Xenopus tropicalis: one gene and its partners. The protein of the gene in region 1 interacts with the protein of each later gene in a pairwise test. Links are inferred from orthologs where the notes say so. Each region holds a gene or a part of one and is shown on either strand. Other genes may lie near its edges.

Region 1 (6,646 bases):
TTTTAGAAAGTTAGATATGTTAGAAAAACTGTGTAATTTAAAGGAAAAGTAACACTTAAAATTTTTAACTAAAAAATCTATTCTACCCTCCCCCAATAATTTCCCTATCCTGAAAACCATTTGTTATTTTAAATGCTTTAGAAGAAAATACCTGTAAAAAACTTGGCTTCCTGTCATTTGAACAAAGGCGATACAGCATGCCGGGAAAGTATCGGGAGATGCATCAACTATGCGGGGATCGATTGATCGAGCCTAGCCTGACTCCTTCCTACAGAAGTCAGGCTAGGCTCAATCAATCGATCGCCGATAGTTGATGCATCTACTGATACTTTTCCGGCATCGCCATATCGCCTTTGTTCAAATGACAGGAAGCCAAGTTTTTTTACAGGTATTTTCTTTCTACTAAAGCATTCAAAATAACAAATGGTTTTCAGGATAGGGAAATTATTGGGGGAGGGTAGAATAGATTTTTTAGTTAAAAATTTATTAATAATAATTTTCCTTTAAAGCAGTGTTTCTTTATACTTCTGTTCTCTGGGTCTGACTTTTACTACGAAGCTCACATTAGCACATTGATGTGGTACCAACAGCCTGCATAACCCTTTTATGATCCAGGAGCCAGACAATCAGATCAGTACACTTTGACTGTGCGCACTGTCGGCTAAATTAGGCAAACATTTGTTTGGCAACCTCACCATCAAGCGGATCTCAACATGAATGGCCCGCTTAACAAGAGTCAGAACAACTTCACATCTTTTAATGAGTTGTTAGCTGGATTGCAAGATTGTTTCACGTGTGTGTAGAGAATACAAACAGATAAATACTAGTTTAGAAATAACAACTTAGATTGTAAGCACTAGGGGCAGGGACCTCCTTTCTACTGTGTCTCACACCACATGACACAATCTCTGTGTATTTATACTTATTTATTGTATTTATTATAACACTTGTCCTCCCTGTGTGTATCTGAGTTTATTGTAGGATTGTACAGCACTGCGGTTCTGCCATGGATGATCCCTGTTTCTCAGTGAGAAGGCCACTGTATTCTTCACGATTTATATGATATCTGCTGTGTAAACTTTTGCTTTTTTTCCCTATTCAGCTTGAAAGGTTAGCCCCATGGATACACAGCAACTTATTTATATCAACTGTAGTTATGAAGCAAAAACACACCTTTTTATTAGTGCAGAGTAAAGGCCCCCATACACGGGCCGACTATAGCTGCCGATATCAGTCCCTTGGACCGATTCGGCAGCTAATCGGCCCGTGTATGGGCAGAACAGAGCGGCCTGGCAGACCAATATCTGGCCTGAAATTGTCCAGATCTCGATCGGCCAGGTTAGAAAATCCAGTCGGATCGGGGACCGCATCAGCTCGTTGATGCGGTCACCGATCCCACTGCCCCATAACCTCAAATGTAATCCGATCGTTTGGCCCCAGGGCCAAACGATCGGATTATTTTTTTTTTAAGTCCCTTGCTACCCGATATCGCCCACCCGTAGGTGGGGATATCGGGTGAAGATCCGCTCGCTTGGCGACATCGCCATCACCCAAAAGCTTTTTCGCTGTGCATGCACTGGCCAGGGGCAACAGAAGCAAGAAGGTACGGATTAAATAATTGTGACATGATGCTCATACAGAAGTACCCCAGGCTGCTGCAATCTTCTGCCATCACCAGTACTGGCCCTGGGTATCAGGTAACATATGGAGCCACCAGTGACTCTAACTTTTTTTTTTGTTTTAAAAAGGAGCCACACCCAAAAAAAGTTAAATAAAAATTAATGAAAGAAACAGCACCTTACTAATACACATTGAATATTTTCATTGGTTTTAAAGTTATTTGTAAATGTAATGCTCAATTCAAGCTGTCTGGCTGTACTGACTCCCGAAACAAGAGAAAAGATAGGGCTAAAACAAATCCTGCTTCAATTGCACTTACACTTACAATTAACTTTAAAACAACTGCAAAACTGTTGTCAATTGTACATTGGGACGTCTCTCAGAATGACACTTTCATTACAAATTGTTTTGGTTGAAAAATGATTTATTATAGAATACACATATTCGGCTACTACAGGCAAGATGCTGCCAGGCATGCTGCACTTACACAGCCCGCTAAGGCTCAGCACCATAGGGACCTCCATGCAACGCTAGCCACCCGTCCTCCAATTGCTTGAGCTATAATTTTACATTACAAGAACAACCCTTGAGCATATAGAGCGCTGCCCAGGGCTCTAATGTGCAACCTACAGGTATTTAGCGGAGGTTCTCCCACTGATACCCAGGGACCCCAAACAAAACACACAACCGAAGCTACGGAGCGCAGCTGGAACTAAACAATCCCACCGGCTGAAGATACTACACCCTAAATAACATCGGCTTTTCAGCAAAACTCACCATAGTGTTTCCTTCTCAGCCACATCACACTTCCTGCAGAAAACGTCACCTCCGCTCGTCACTGATTGGACGATCGGCCGCCCTTCATTCTTCCCGCTAGCTCCGAACTACGTTATGTCACTGATTCTGGATTTCTGTCTGTTGCTAGGGCAGGTGATGTCACTGAGCTACTTTCGCTTCCTATTGGGCAGTTTTATTTTGCAGCTTTTGTAGGAACACGGAAGTTGCGAGGGAATTCCTTTCGTTACAGAGGTAGGAAGCAATGGTGGGCATGACTATCGTAATACTTATTAAAATTAGAATAAAAGCAGTGGCGTATGCACTTATAGTGAAAAATAATAGAGATTTATTAGTGTGGCACACGGCAGTTTCTACTTGGGTGAGCAGCAGTGTGCCATGAACCCTGCAGGTGTTCAAATCAACCAGCTTTCCTTTCTGTGTATGAATTCATTCCCAGAATTCCTTTTGTTTGCTTTCTGTCTATCGGAAATATTATTTTTAATTTAATTATTTTTTACCTCTAGTTTTAATTCCGACCAACTGCATAGAAGCAGCCGTCTCCTGACCATCAGCCAGTTCTCATGACCTATTTTTATGATATGCAGCTTGCTAAAATGCATTCATTAAAAACTGTCAATATGTTTAAAGTCATTTGTAATTAAAAGCTGTGTTTGTTCTTTTCTGCCATGCCTTTTCACTGGTCTTTCATTCAGCTGGATTCTGCAACATTGTTTCAGGAGTCCAACCAGTAGTACAGAGAATAGTAAGGGACAATCACATTGTCAGTAGCATTTACATTTACAAATAACTTTAAACCCATTTTTCTTAAAGGGGAACAACGCCTTCCAAACCAATTTGTTAAAGAGCCCCAAACAAGACAGAAACCCCTGTAATCTGTTCCTTCGAAAATTATTAATAAATACAATTTTTAACTGCTGAAATTCAGCTGCAAAACAGTTTTTATCTTTACATCATTTGAAATCCTGGCAGGGGAGGAGGGACTAAAGCACTGATGTTACAAATTGCATTGCACTGTGAAGTTGCTTTTCTTATTGACATCACATGTGCATGGGATTGTGGGATTTCGAGAGTGCAGGCTGAAGGCAGGCTTTGGACAGTCGACTACTGTTACATTTTTCTCAAAGTAGTCAGCCAGGAGAACAGGGGGCGAGGCTTAGGTAACTGTTACAAACAATAGTATTACATTAAAATGTAAAAAAACATTTTTTATTATTTCTGGGTTTCACCCCTTTTAACTTTTAGCATGTTTAATGCCATCTTGCTGTTTAAATATAGTGGGCCAGTAATTCCCTATACCACATATTTCTGGGCCAGGTTATAATGATGATGGGGGTCAGTGGAAGTTTTTAGTAACATAGGGGCCATAAAGATCTCTTGGAGAGCCACATCTGGCCTGTGGGGTTCTAGTTGGACAGCCCAGCCTTTGACAGTGATACTCTGACAAGGGGTAAAAAAAACATCTTATAAAAAACTGTAGACTGTTGTGGATGCTTAATACTTTTACAAATGTATCCAGTGTAATATTGGTATGGACAGTACCAGTGAATGAGTTTAGAAGAGTTGTTAAGGGAAAACACAACAGAAATGTGTCTTCTTTAAACAAAGTAACATACAAAGTAATATATAAATAAAACGAGGGCTGTGGAGTCGGTAGATAAATTCTCCGACTCCGACTCCTCAGTTTCTGATACTTCCGACTCCGACTCTGTTTTTAATATGCTAATGTATTTTATACATTCATACAGTCAATGAAAAGCATGCTTCATGGTCACTCAACGTGTTTGTTTATGCACTGCGTGCATTGGGCTTTATTCTTATAGCAGAGAAGTAATTAATTATGACTGTTTGTGAACTGGGACATTTAAACTTGCTTTATTTTTTTTTTTATTCCCATTTAAATTTAGTAGGAGTCGGTTCTTTTTTTGCCGACTCCGACTCCAGGTACCCAAAATTGCCTCCGACTCCACAGCCCTGAAATAAACGAAATATTTGTTTTACATTATACCAGTTTGTATATATTGCCAGGATTTATAGCATAAATAATAAAAACTAGCCAGCCTACCTAAAAAATTAAAATAACTGGTTGAACGTATCAATAAATAAATGTCTCAAATCCTTATAATAATTATTGTAACAACTGTAAACAAATCAATAATGCCATTTTTTTAAGTACTGTAATGTGTTGCAAATTGGGACTACTGTTGCAACCAACCACCACCAACAACTAATCAGACTAGCTAGGTTACTGCTTAAAGGAGAAGGAAAGTCATTTTGCCATTTTACTGCCAATAGGTTTAACACATTAGTGCCACCTGGAACAATATATTTATTCTGCAGAAAGCATTGCCAGACCTGAGTAAAGAGCCCTAGAAGATTTCTCTGTTTGCTTAAGACAGCAGCTACCATTTTAAATAGCTTCCTGTTTGCAGTCTAGCTGTTATAGCTCAGATCACACATTCCTAAGGGAGGGGGGAAGGAGTTATGAGCATTTTTATGGGAGGGGGGAGGAGGAGAGAACTGCATAGACTCTGGCCATGGGAATTAAGGATTTTTCTGAGAGAGGAAGTCGGACACCAGAACAACATGTTTACAAAAAAGGAGACCAGAAATTCTTTGTTTGATAGAGTGCAAGTGTTTCTGTGAGAGCTTATGGCTGTATTAACATGGACCTTTCTGATAAAGCTTACTTAGTTTTTACCTTTCCTTCCCCTTTAAAGGAACAGTAACACCAAAAAATGAAAGTGTTTTAAAGTAATTAAAATATAATTTACTGTGTGCACTGGCAACACTGGTGTGTTTGCTACAGAAACACTACTATAGTTTATATAAATAAGCTGATGTGTAGCCATGGGGGCAGCTATTGAAGCTGGAAAAATGGAGAAAAGGCACAGGTTACATAGATAACCGATAACAGATAAGACACCGCTGTATTTCACTGTTTATCTGTTAGCCACAATATAACCTGTGCTTTTTCTCCTTTTGAATAGCTGCCCCCATGGCTATACAGCAAGGTATTTATAAAAAAAAAACTCTATTAGTGTTTCAGAAACAAATATACAGCTTTTACCAGTGCAGGGTAGCAGTACATTATAGTTTAATTTTTTGATATAATTTCTTTTTTGGGTATTACTGTTCCTTTATTATATGTACCTAATAAGGAGTAGGGCTACTTTTTGACTTCAGCACAGCTTCAGTTCTTTATGGAATGCTATTATACAAACCCTGGTCTATGTTTAGATGTATGTGACTATTTTTCAAGAAAAAAAAGCACCTGTTTCTTAACATAGAAAGGCTTAACTTAACCCGCTTCCCACCATCCAGTTTGTCACAGTATTTTCAGTACCTTTGAAAAGCTGAACACCATTAATTTTGGTGGAGTATTAGGGCTCAGCAGAGCGGTGCTATTATCAAGTCAGGGATTGATAAATAAAGGCTGAAGGTTTTCCAGTCTGTGTTGGTGAGCTTGACCTGTGACCAGTGTTTCTATTTCTTGCTGATGCAGTTTGTGTGGATCTGCATATATTGATGATCCCTTTTGACATTAAATAATTTCCTTATTATTTGGACCAATACATCTGTATTTTAGGCACTGACTCTTTTGCCTCTTTTGAACTTTTAGTTGTCTTTGAAAACTCAAGTGCTTATAGTTCTTTTTATAGGTGATATATACTACTGGCAGGCAGCCAGGCTTGCTTTCCTTTTGCTTTTCCTTTTCCTGCAGAGGCTTGTTGTTTTTATTTTTGAGTTCTGTTTAAAAAAACATATCTACTAATTTCAATTCTTTAGAATATATATTATTAGAATATATATTGTTTTTGGGTACAATGTAATTATTTGTGCAGAAATTCTTAAACAGTATCTTTTTTGATTATTCAGTTTGGTAGCATAAGGACTAAACTCCATGGGAGATTTTGATCAGATTTTGTGGGTTAAATTTTATCTGATCTTGTCATGCAACAGTACGCGGCAGTGCACAACAGCACGAGATTTTGTAGGATCCTACAAATTCTGATCTCCACAGCTGTAATGTAATGTCGGATCAGATAAAGTTGAATGTTTTCTTATGTTTTTGACAATCAATGTATTTCAATGAGAAAAAAAAGTCTTGCTAAAGTTACATGTAGTTTACACATCAGATTTTTCAGTCCCATTATATTTTGACCCATGCAACTACATCTGACTTGTGAGATGCGTTTTGTCAATCTGACACCATCCGACAAAAGCGCTC
Region 2 (6,071 bases), about 87 Mb from region 1:
TTATTTTGCTTGACAAACACAATAGAAAACAATTTGTAATTATTTCTTAGGGTGACAGGTCCCCTTTAAAAAGAGGGAGAGTATCATGCAAATCTATACCCCTTTTTAATATAGCTCAAAATCTTCCCCCTACCATTTAACCCTTCCGAATGCTAATTAGCATATATGAATTTATGCTAATTCGGTTCGGCCGGGACTGTGGATTCTGCCAAAACTGAATCCTTCAAAAAAAAAAAAAAAGGCTATATTCGGCCAGAATCCTGAACGGAATCCAGGATTCAGTGCATCCCTAGTCATTTGCAAACACTGATAAATTTCTTTCAATACCCACCCCAAGTTATTAATGAATAAATAAAAAAGGACCCAATACAGAACCCTGTGGAGAACCCTACTTCATTCAGAGAATGTACGATTTACAACCATCCCCTGTACACAATTCTTTATTTCTGCTAAAACAATTAAGCAAGAAATTCAGGGAATTTTGAGTCAAATTTAAAGATGTTGTTTACCTTTAAATTTTCTTTTAATATGACATAGACAATGATATTTTAAGACAGTTTGCAGTTGGTTTTTATTTTTTTTGTGGTTTTTCAGTTATTTTTTGTTCCTCGGCTCTCCAGTTTGGAATTTCAGCAGCTGTCTGGTTGCTAGAGCCTTGTTTACCTTAGCAACCAGGCAGTGGTTTGTGAGACTGGAGAGGGACTGAAGAGAAAGATAAGTAATACAAAGAAACAATAACAATAAAATGGTAACCTCAGAAATCAATACTGGTTTAGGGCTGTGTCACACGGGGAGACTAGTCGCCCTCGACTAATCTCCCCAAAATGCCATCCCTCCGGTCGGTGAAAATGTAAATTGCCGGTGGGATGGCATAAATGCCTTTAAGAAAAATTATAAATAGCATGCAAAGACAGTGTTACGGTAGATGTAAATAAGGTTTAATTTCTGGTGTCAGTATCTCTTTAAAGGTGAACCATGCCTTTAAGATCTCTGTTTTGTTCTCTTGCTACAGGTATCGGACCCCTTATCCGGAAACCCGTTATCCAGAAAGCTCCGAATTACGGAATGCCCGTCTCCCATAGACTCCATTTTAATCAAATAATTCAGAATTTTAAAACTGATTTCCTTTTTCTATGTAGAAATAAAACAGAACCTTGTAATTGATTCCAACTAAGATATAATTAATCCTTACTGGATGCAAAACAATCCTATTGGGTTTAATTCATGTTTTATTGATTTTTTTTAGTAGACTTAAGGCACAGAGATCCAAATTACGGAAAGACCCCTTATGCGGAATACCCTTGGTCCCGAGCATTCTGGATAATGGGTCCTATACCTGTACTATATGCTGGAACACGAGCTACAAATATATCAAATCTGCCCCTTTGACTCACCTTACCAAAATTAGTCTATGAAGATTTTCATTCATCCAGGTCATGGTATATCTAGTATAAATAAATTTAAAGCTACTGGACTTGTTTGGTAATCATTGAAGACGTTTCACTACTCATCCGAGCAGCTTCTTCAGTTCAACTGACTCGTATGGGAAGTCCTCAGCATATATACTCTTCCACTAATCCAATCACAATGGCACTTTGTAACTCTTCAGAAAGGTGACATCTGAAACTCACAGAGGTGTGAATGCTGTGGAGTTACTTTGAAAGGATTACCAAAGTATCATGCAACTCTTCAAAGCAGGTGTTACTTGTTAGAGTTGCATGAATGGATGTGTGAAGAGTTCTGAAACTGCCGGGGTACAGATGTTAGAACAGCATTGTATGTAGCAGACAGATGGTGTTGAAGTCCCCCGCCCAACAGGAACACCAAAAGGAATAACTGTCCTGAGGCAGAGAGAAGGCGCAATATAGTCATCCCATATGTAGCAGGAGTGTCGGAGAAACTCAGGAGAATTTTCAGCAAACACCACATCCCTGTGTTTTTCAAACCTAGCAACACACTGTACACCCAAAGGATCCAACACCAAAGCAAAAACAAAGCAATGTTGTATACGCAGTCCAGTGTAGCGAGGAGTGCACAGACCTTTACATTGGTGAAACAAAGCAACTGCTCTCCAAGCGAATGGCTCAGCATAGGAGGGTGAACACTACAGGCCAGGACACTGCTGTATTTCTACACCTAAAAGACAATGGACACTCCTTTGAAAATAGCAACGTCCAAATTTTGGACAAAGAAGACCGCTGGTTTGAAAGAGGTGTAAAAGAGGCCATTCATGTCAAAGTAGAGAAACCATCCCTAAACAGAGGCGGAGGACTTCGACACCATCTGTCTGCTACATACAATGCTGTTCTAACATCTGTACCCCGGCAGTTTCAGAACTCTTCACATATCCATTCATGCAACTCTAACAAGTAACACCTGCTTTGAAGAGTTGCGTGATACTTTGGTAATCCTTTCAAAGTAACTCCACAGCATTCACACCTCTGTGAGTTTCAGATGTCACCTTTCTGAAGAGTTACAATGTGCCATTGTGATTGGATTAGTGGAAGAGTATATATGCTGAGGACTTCCCATACCAGTCAGTTGAACTGAAGAAGCTGCTCGGATGAGTAGTGAAACGTCTTCAATGATTACCAAACAAGTCCAATCGCTTTAAATTTATTTATACTAGACTTACCAAAATGAGTTTACTTTGTCCAAAACTGCCACAGGTGTTATATGAAACTGTGTCCCCTTCCAAAAATTACAAAGAATAGTAGAAAGTCACCTTTCAACCAACATAAAGCAATCTAGTCTAGTTTGCCTTTTTAAAGAGGATTTTTGTCTCTGTCTGCAGTTTTATCATGCAAAAATAAAGTAAAAAGCATCCTTGTTAAAGCAAAACTTGTTTTCCTTTAATCTGCTGGCCAGCCAGTCTCAGATATAACTGTTTTTGTCTTGCCCTGTTTTAACAGGAACAATGATTGAATGTTGGCTGGTAAGTAAGGATGGAAAACATGGTCGAATAAGGCTGCCTCATGCAGAGACTGTGGTAATTGGCCGAGGGCCTGAGACACAGATAACTGACAAGAAGTGCTCTAGACATCAAGGTAATTCAGACTACACACATTAATTCAACTGGATTATACTAGCAGTATAACTGCATACCTGTTTTTTTTACATGCAAGGTATATTTCACTGTGTCTGTAAAATGTAACATAAAAAAAAACATTGAAAAAAGACAAACGTCCATCACGTTCAACCATAATGCCTATATATAACCTGCCTAACTGCTAGTTGATCTAGAGCAGTGCTGTCCAACTTCTGTGGTACCGAGGGCCGGAATTTTTCCAGCCTCCGTGGTGGAGGGCCAGTAATGGAAGCTAGTTTTGACCACTCCCCTTTTTAAAACCACACCCACTTGAAACCACACCCATGTTATCGCATGACCATACCCATATTAATGGTGGTAGTACAGCAAAAACCTGCCATACTCTGCCTTCCCTACCCTGCCTGTGTGTGCCATACTCTGCCTGCCCTACCCTGCCTGTGTGTGCCATACTCTGCCTGCCCTACCCTGCCTGTGTGTGCTATACTCTGCCTGTCCTATGCTGCCTGTGTGTATGGCACACACAGGCAGCATAGGGCAGGCAGAGTATGGCACACACAGGCAGCATACAGTGACACAATGCTGGCACTGCTCCTACAGTCTGCACAATAACTATATATTAAAAAACTTTTTAATTGCAGTGCCACCTCAGTTTATGTTCTTTTTATAGTGTGCAGGGTGTGTTTGTGGGTTTCTACTGCTCCTACAGTCTGTCTGAGGTGTGAACAGGTGAACAATGTGGGTGATTACAGCCTGAGCCTGAGGTGTGAACACTGCTGGGGGTGAACAATGTAGGGATTAAAAGGTGTGAACAACACAGGGGATTACATGATTAAACAATACAGGGGGATTACAGCCTGAATCTGAGTTGTGAACCATGCAGGGGGCCAGTACTGATACCATTTAAAGTCGCCTGTTGGACAGCACTGATCTAGAGGAAGGAAAAAAAAAACCCCATCTGAAGCTCTTATTTGCCGGAACAGGGGTTAGTTAGTGTGTTATAATTTTGTAAATGCATTGATGGTTTAAAACGAGACCTGTCACTGTAAGGAATAATTCCAGATTCTTTTCTATTGTGTATGTCTAGCAAAATAAACTTTACTGACACAAATTTCAATCTTCTTTCCTTCATTCTTTTAGAATCCAAGCATAGAGCATATAGGTGCCATTTTGAGTCAATCTTTGCATTATTCTAAAATAAGTTTTATGTACCAAAATGGGGTACCTGATGCCCATACCCATGCACAGGCTACACCTGTATAGACAGTGAGGGAGGGGAGAATTTGAGGAATTTAGTGACCTCTAGGAAGTGCTAAATAGAAAGTAAAAGTAAAAATAATTTTATTATACAGCTTTTATGTCTGGGTGACAGGTCTCTCTTAAGCGCGCCCACTTTGTGAAGGCTGACTTTTGCAACAATGGATCTCGGATGTGCTAATTCTCTGTGTTCATCAGAATTTTCAGCCATTGCTCAGTTTGTATCAGTATTTCTATTATTTACAGTGACAGAAGACAGTACCAAACTTACTTATTCACCTCTCACTGACCATTGGCTATTAATGATATTGTTGCTGTTTTTGGTAGTGTAACAAGAGAGTCACAGCCCTATATATATATATATATATATATACACAAAATACAGAGTGAAGAGCACACCAAAATTAAATAGCGATACCTGGGTGCCCGAGCAGCAAAATTGAAATACAAATAAAAAGTGTCAGCACTCACAGGATTCTCACGATAGTATTCATGGACGAAAAGTCCATGAATACGTCAGTAAAGACGTCAGTAAAGAACCGAAACGTTGGATCAATAAAACCTCACCTTATTGCATCTAACTACGACTTTTCGTCCATGAATACTATCGTGGGAATCCTGTGAGTGCCGACACTTTTTATTTGTATATATATATATACATATATATATATATATATACATATACATATATACACACAGTAAAGACCCTTAGCTGCTCAAATGGAGAGTAATATATAGCTTAGTCCAGTGCTGTCCAACTGGCTGCTTTGATGGTTTACCTTTGTGTAAACTTTAAATGGTATCAGTACTCAGATTAACTGGCCCCCTGCATGGTTCACACCTCAGATTCAGGCTGTAATCCCTCTGTATTGTTTAAATATGTAATCCCCTGTGTTTTTCACACCTTTCAGTTTCTGCATTGTTCACCCCCTGCAGTGTTCACACCTCAGGCTCAGGCTGTAATCACCCACATTGTTCACCTGTTCACACCTCAGACATTGTATGTAGTGCCTGGACTATGCTGCCTGTGTATATGGCACACACAGACAGCATAGGGTAGGCATAGTATGGCACATAGGCAGCATAGGGCAGGGAGGGTATGGAACACACAGGCAGCATAGGGCAGGCAGAGTATGGCACACACAGGCAGCATAGGGCAGGCATAGTATGGCACACACTGGCAGCATAGGGCAGGCAGAGTATGGCACACACAGGCAGCATAGGGCAGGGAGGGTATGGAACACACAGGCAGCATAGGGCAGGCAGAGTATGGCACACACAGGCAGCATAGGACAGGCAGAGTATGGCACACACAGGCAGCATAGGACAGGCAGAGTATTGCACACACAGGCAGCATAGGGCAGGGAGGGTATGGAACACACACAGGCAGCATAGGGTAGGCAGAGTATGGCACACACAGGCAGCATAGGGCAGGCAGAGTATGGCACACACAGGCAGCATAGGGTAGGCAGTGAGAGGTGAACCTGGCAGGGGTTTGTTCTGGGAGTTTGTTAGCAGTTGGAATTAGCCATTAAATGGTCCCTAAGGTGTGTAATTATGTGCTGGGGGTTGCTGTGCTACCCACAGGGGAGGAGGAGGCATATGGATTTAAGGGTATATCTTAAAATGACATAATATAATTCTTTCACATATGGATGATGGTTGATATCCCCGCATTTGGGTTTTTGCTGCACTACCACCATTGTGATAAAATGGGTGTGGTTTGAAGTGGGTGTGGTTCAAAAAAGGGGAGTGGTCAAAACTGGCT
Region 3 (6,071 bases), on another chromosome or scaffold:
TTCAGGCTGAAATCCACTCCATATATATACAATGTCAGATGGGGTTCTTTGGTCACTGACTGCAGGCACAAGTAGTATCAGCATTGATGTTTTCCGTATTGATGTTTTCTCACCTAAAGACATTAGCCTTCCATCTTCCTTTGTGTATTAGCATCACCAAGTGTAAAACAGAGTTATCTGCTTTGTGGTCACTTGTTTCCTTCTTTTTAAATTACTTTCACTGTAGACCTTCTCTAGATGCATCAACATTCATAGACCCTGGGGCAGTTGGTTTTCACGCGTTCATTGTCCTATTAAAAAAAAAAGTACATTTTGTATTCTACATATCGGCAGGTATAAACCATTTATTTCTTGATCTTTTCCGTGCTTTTTATATTAACATGCAAATCTACATATTGAGACCAAAAAAGTTTGGTTATTTGAATTTTATTTCATGTTACATTCTTGGAATAGATCATTGTGTAATAAAGTAGAATACCTGCTGTTCCTAATTAAATGGCCGCTTCTCTCGGGAACAAATTAATTATTTCTAGCTATGGGAAATGTTACATAGTTACAGTTTTACAGCCTAATAATTGCACAAAAGAAACCCACTATGCAGTGTAAAAATGAATTGCCTTTAACTTTAGAGTCTGTATTGAGGAAGTGATTGATGTTCAAACTTTCAACTAATAGAGGAATTGACCTGCAGAGTTTGTTGTTATGGAAAACAAGCTCTTGTTGATTGTGATTGATGAAAACTCCTAGTACTTCCAGCTGATAGAACAATAGATTCAGAGATTGCATTCATGAAGGAACTCTTCACAGAGAGCTTACAGGTGATCAAACCCATTATGATTTCAGTATGTAATCTTTACCATTCCTGTAGCGTGGGAGTGAAATGTTCTGCTTATAAATGAACTAAGAGATAGCAGTTTCAGCAACAAGCTAGTAAAATACAATAGGGCTCATGTACGTCCACAAGTCCAGTTGCGGTCCAGGTAATTTCCCCGCAGTCAGCTGTGCGTAAAAAAAGGTACTTGCATTAAAATGTGCTCTCTCTATAGTTGCACTCAGCGGCGCTCAGTCTGTCCTGTTTTCCATTCTGAAATGGGTGTTGCTGCACCTATTAATGCATGGAAACCCTGAAGCTACTGCCACCTCCAAACCAAGTGATAGCTCCAGGGTTCCTGTAGCACCCTGCAATTATGCATCGCTGCAGTTAAGCTGAAATTTTGGGGAAAAATATATGTAAGATAAAATGTTGCCTTCTGATTTTTCTTTTTTGGTAAGTAAACCCAGGTGCTAACTGTGGGTAGTATTTAAGGCCTAGATAAAAAATATAAAGCAAAGCAGTTCCCTAGGTTAATGTTTCTTAAACTGTGAATTCTGATGGAATGCACTGATCATTGTACCTTCCAACACACTGGAGCACAGTCCTAAACAGATATATTTTGAGGTGGCCATACACAGGGCGATTTAAGATGCCAGTTTATCAGCCCATGTTTGGGGCCCTCAGACAGGTCTGTCTGACCGATATCTTGGTGAAAATTGGGCAGATGTCGATTGGGCAGGTTTAAAAATCTCATCAGGGTGAAGAGTGAGGCTTATTAATGTGGTCCTGGTTCCGATGGCCTGCATCATGTCAATGTGATCTGATCGGATCAATCCGATATTGCCCACTTCAAGGTTGGCATATAGGGTTGATAAAGTTGATCTTTCAGTATATGGCCAGGGTTAGATCCTATATAGATTAAAAGTAGTGTACAATACCAGCACAATAGAATTGTTTTTTGGGATTCTTTTTTTACCCTCCATCCTATTTATGTGTTGTTCATAATTACATATAACATATTTCAAACTTTTTTATATCATAGTTATATTTTTCTTTTTATTACGTGTAACTTTAATGTGAATGATTGTAGATTTAGGCTGCTGTAGTCCTTCCAGTGATGCAGATTGCTGTGATCAGTCTGGAAAAGCTGTCAAACAGTGACTATAACTGTACTGTATTTGGAAAGCCTAAAATTGTAAAGCAAAAGTTTATACCCTAGGAGACGTTTCTTCAGTTTCAATGGATTCTTTGTGCTTTTCATTTCGTTATGTGGAATGCAAAAAAATGACAGGTTTCAACTGCAAAAAAAGATGTCCCCCCTGCTGAAACACTTGCTGTTCTTTGATCTCCTTTTCTGTAATAACAAAAATGCAATTTTTCTTTTTTTGTAGGTGCATGTGAATCCCTGTTTTTATCAAGGTCCTGGTGGAAACACATTTATTCCTTTGGAAAAAGACAAATGGCATTGGTTACACTCTGGGGACTGTTTTTCTCTTTTGCCAGATAAATATACATTCAAAGTCATTGCTGACACTTCTACAGAGGAGAGTACTGAAAGGTAAAGTAACATATTTCAAGTGATATATAAATATATATATATATATGTTGCTATTTTTTATACATAGATTCCTAGCAGAGGAAGGATCATATGAATGAAGATCTGCTGCAAAGGGAGGGGTTGTGGGGTAGGGTATGTAAACAGTACAGAAAGGGGTATGCACCCCCTTGTTCACCTTGAGTTCAATGAATAGTTTTTATGCTGAACATACTTTTTGCCTATTGTTATAATCACAAAAAATCTGTTTTTTTGTTATTTCTTGAGCTAAACAGGGAAATTAAAGCTACTCTGTGTTTGGCCCTTGAGTGGTAATAATTAGAATACCAGTACACAGGTAATCCCCTAGCTAACAAAACAGTCACAGCAAAGAGGGAAGCTAGGGATAGTATTCTGGTAATTTAAACTACCTCACAAGGACCAAACATGCAGTAGCTTCAATTTCCCTCAAGAAAACAAAAACCATAGATTTGCTAGAAATAGGGCATTCTATAACATACTAAAAGTTTATTAAAATGTGAACCACCCCTTTAAAAAATAAGTATGCTTTAACTGTGACTTGTACAGGTATGGGACCTGTTATCTGGAAAGCCGTTATCCAGAAAGTTCAGAATTACGGAAAGGCCATCTCCTATTATAAAAAAATAATTTTGCTTTTTAAAAATGATTTCCTTTTTCTTTGTAATAATAAAACAGAACATTGTACTTGACCCCAACTAAAATATCATTAATCCCTACTGGGGCAAAACAATCCTATTGGGTTTAATAATATTTAAATGATTTTGGACTTAAAGTTTGGCGATCCAAATTACGGAAAGACCCCTAATCCGGAAAACCCCAGGTCCCGAGCATTCTGGATAATGGGTCCCATACCTGTACTGGTAATAAGTAATAGGCGTCTGTCTGTGTATGTATTTCAGTAGCTGTCTGGCTACTAGGGATTTACCCTAGCAAACCAGGCAGTGGTTTGAATGAGAGGTCGGAAAATGAGTAGAAGAAGGCCTGAATAAAAATATAAACAAAAAAAGTTACAATAACAATAAAATTGTAGCTTAACAACAGGGTAATAGTTTTTAGCTGCTGGGGTCAATTACACCCATTTGAAAGCTAGAAAGAGGCAGATGAGGAAGGCAAATATTTCAAAAACTATAATAAATAGTAATAACACATTGCAAAGTTGCTAGGAATAGGGAATTCTATAATACACTAGAAGGTAACTCAAACGTGAACCACCCCTTTATGGAATAAGTACACATTTTTATTTTAGAATGCCTAAAATGACTCTAAACAGCCTCTAAAATGACACACCTCCCTACTTAGAGTCCGATGTCCGATCTAGTGGGAAGTTCCGACAGCTCCTTGACCTATTCAAAGTAGAAGGAAGGCTCAGCATACTAAAGGGGAACAGAGATTCACCCTATAAAAGGAAAGTGACTGATTTCTGCAGCATGTTTCAGTTTCTATCTTAGAAACTCAATGTAGGGAGAGACTTTCGGGGTCATTTAGAGTTTTTTAGGGATTTTAAAAGGTTTACTTTTTCTTTAATGATCTAAGGGCTGTTCAGATATATTTTGAAATGTAGTTATATTTATTTAATATTTTGAATGAATACAGAACCCTATAAACCTGTGAACTGTTGGTTCAGCCAGTTTTGCTGATATTAGCCATTGTTATTCTTGTTTAGTTGGGGCTTAATTTTTTGCATTTCAAAAAACAAAAGTTAATCAAAAAACTTTTTCACGTGTGAAAGTCAAACTGACTTCTAACTGTATAACTTTAATGTTAAAAACCAACATCACATTTAAAAAAAAGTTTTTTTTACAATAATTAAATAGCCCCTTATTACCTTGATTTTATGGGAATATATAATTCCAGCTTGCTACCATGATAGTATACTTTTATCATTTTAGAAAATTTTGGTTGAAAGTGCGTGATTCAGTGCACTTCGTCTTAAATTATTTTTCCAGAACACCAGGCTTGTCGATTGATGATGTGTCTGCTTTGGCGTTACTGTTGTCTAAACTAACGTGCTATTACTTTTGGGTCATGAGTTTCAAGGCTGTTGTGACAGAGCTAATTTGGCTTGACAGCACTCTGATGGCAGGTGATGGTTCTGTCAATGTCTTTTAAATTTGCTTTTGCTGTTCACAAATGAGTCATGAATTATAGTCTCAACCTTCACCTGCAGCCTGATTGTTATTTGTCTTTCTACTAAAGCTATATTTTTCCAGGCCCCACAAGGATGGCTGTAAGCAAGTTGCTGGATAATAATTGGTGTTCATAGAAATGCATGATTTTTTTTTTAATATTTTTTCTAATAAATTGAACTACCTAATAGTCTTATAGGATAATTATGGTTTGAACATTCCCTGTTGCAGTGACCCTGGTGATAAGAGATGAATGGGAAACAGGATTTAAGAAAAATAGCTAATAGGAGAAGCACAGTTTTTCTAGATTTTACAAGGCTTTATAAAGGGCAGCAGAAAATAATATAATTCTGTTCTGTGGTTTTCACTGTTTTATAAACAAACCCTTCTATATCCATGTTGAGTAAAACTCATAGAAAGTAAAGAATCAACTCTGATTATTTAGGAGGCATTTGTGTAAAGCTCCTTTTGATTGCTTAAATAACTTATGTGACTTGATGGAATTAAAGTGGAAAAGTGCATTTTCTCCTTATGCCTGTGGCTGGAGTTAATGGACTAATGGCCGTATCCTTTCCCACTTAGATTACTGCAATCTCCTACTAGCCCTTGTAACTCTATCCTTGAATCCCTCCGTAGGGAATACTCACTCTCTTAAAGATAAAAGTCAGATGCTACCTTCTGGAGCACTAAAACATTATTTTGTCTAGTCCTGCGCTTAAGGGCAAATGCACATACCTGGTACAATTTGTCTCCTGTATGTTACCCAACCATTTAGATTGTAAGCTCTACGGGGCAGGGACCTCCTTCCTACTGTGTCTCATACCACATGGCACTTAACCTCTCCGTATTTATACTTATTTATTGTATTTATTGTATTTTATCTTTCTTCTATCCATGGAAATAAATCCTGGCATAAATTACACGTTATTTTAATTATTTATTATAATAATATATAGTAATATACATTATAATATTAATTTTATGTTATCATGCACGCACAACTAAATATGAATGTGTTTGTCAGGTGGCAAAACAGCCAATATACTGCACTCACATATCTTTTAAAAATGTACCGTAATAAAAACTTCCCTTCTTGTGAAGGCCTTCAAATGGCTCTGAAACATTAAATGAATAAGCAGGTAAAGGTAAAATTTTGATTTATTAAAGGATAATTAAACCTTAAATAAGCAATGTAAAACTACTTAGGGTGGTTTTCTAAGCACATTTGCAATTTATATTAATTATTTTTTCTGTTTTAGAGCTGTTTAAGTTTTTATTAACTGCCAATATAATGAATTTTGTAACAACAGCACCACTTTTTTTCCAATTTTCCATTACATTTTTGGTGTTTACTTATCCTTTTAAGACCTGACAGTTCAATATATTGTCCGCTTTCCTCTATGCCTATGTTACCTACATGCAGGTACTGCTGTCTGTTCTTGGTATGCACACATAGTAAAATAGTACATAGTACATGGATGTGTGTGTATCTATATATCTATAAACCTATTCTTATACTTTACAGAAATGTTCATATCACCAACAAGACGAGTGA

Evidence for each region. The genes of interacting proteins can lie anywhere in the genome.
Region 2: the proteins of xrcc4 (region 1) and aptx interact in binary tests that used the Homo sapiens proteins (3 or more experiments, as listed by UniProt). The link is inferred for Xenopus tropicalis from reciprocal best matches to the Homo sapiens genes XRCC4 and APTX.
Region 3: the proteins of xrcc4 (region 1) and aplf interact in binary tests that used the Homo sapiens proteins (3 or more experiments, as listed by UniProt). The link is inferred for Xenopus tropicalis from reciprocal best matches to the Homo sapiens genes XRCC4 and APLF.

What each region holds. Positions count from the first base shown.
Region 1 is NC_030677.2:181,249,594-181,256,239, reverse strand, and holds the start of xrcc4 (DNA repair protein XRCC4), read left to right. Parts: upstream 1-2,617; 5' UTR 2,618-2,649; intron 2,650-6,646.
Region 2 is NC_030677.2:94,456,628-94,462,698, forward strand, and holds part of aptx (aprataxin), read left to right. Parts: intron 1-2,912; 5' UTR 2,913-2,917; coding exon 2,918-3,047; intron 3,048-6,071. UniProt on the Homo sapiens protein: DNA-binding protein involved in single-strand DNA break repair, double-strand DNA break repair and base excision repair.
Region 3 is NC_030681.2:30,357,450-30,363,520, reverse strand, and holds part of aplf (aprataxin and PNK-like factor), read left to right. Parts: intron 1-2,205; coding exon 2,206-2,372; intron 2,373-6,041; coding exon 6,042-6,071. UniProt on the Homo sapiens protein: Histone chaperone involved in single-strand and double-strand DNA break repair.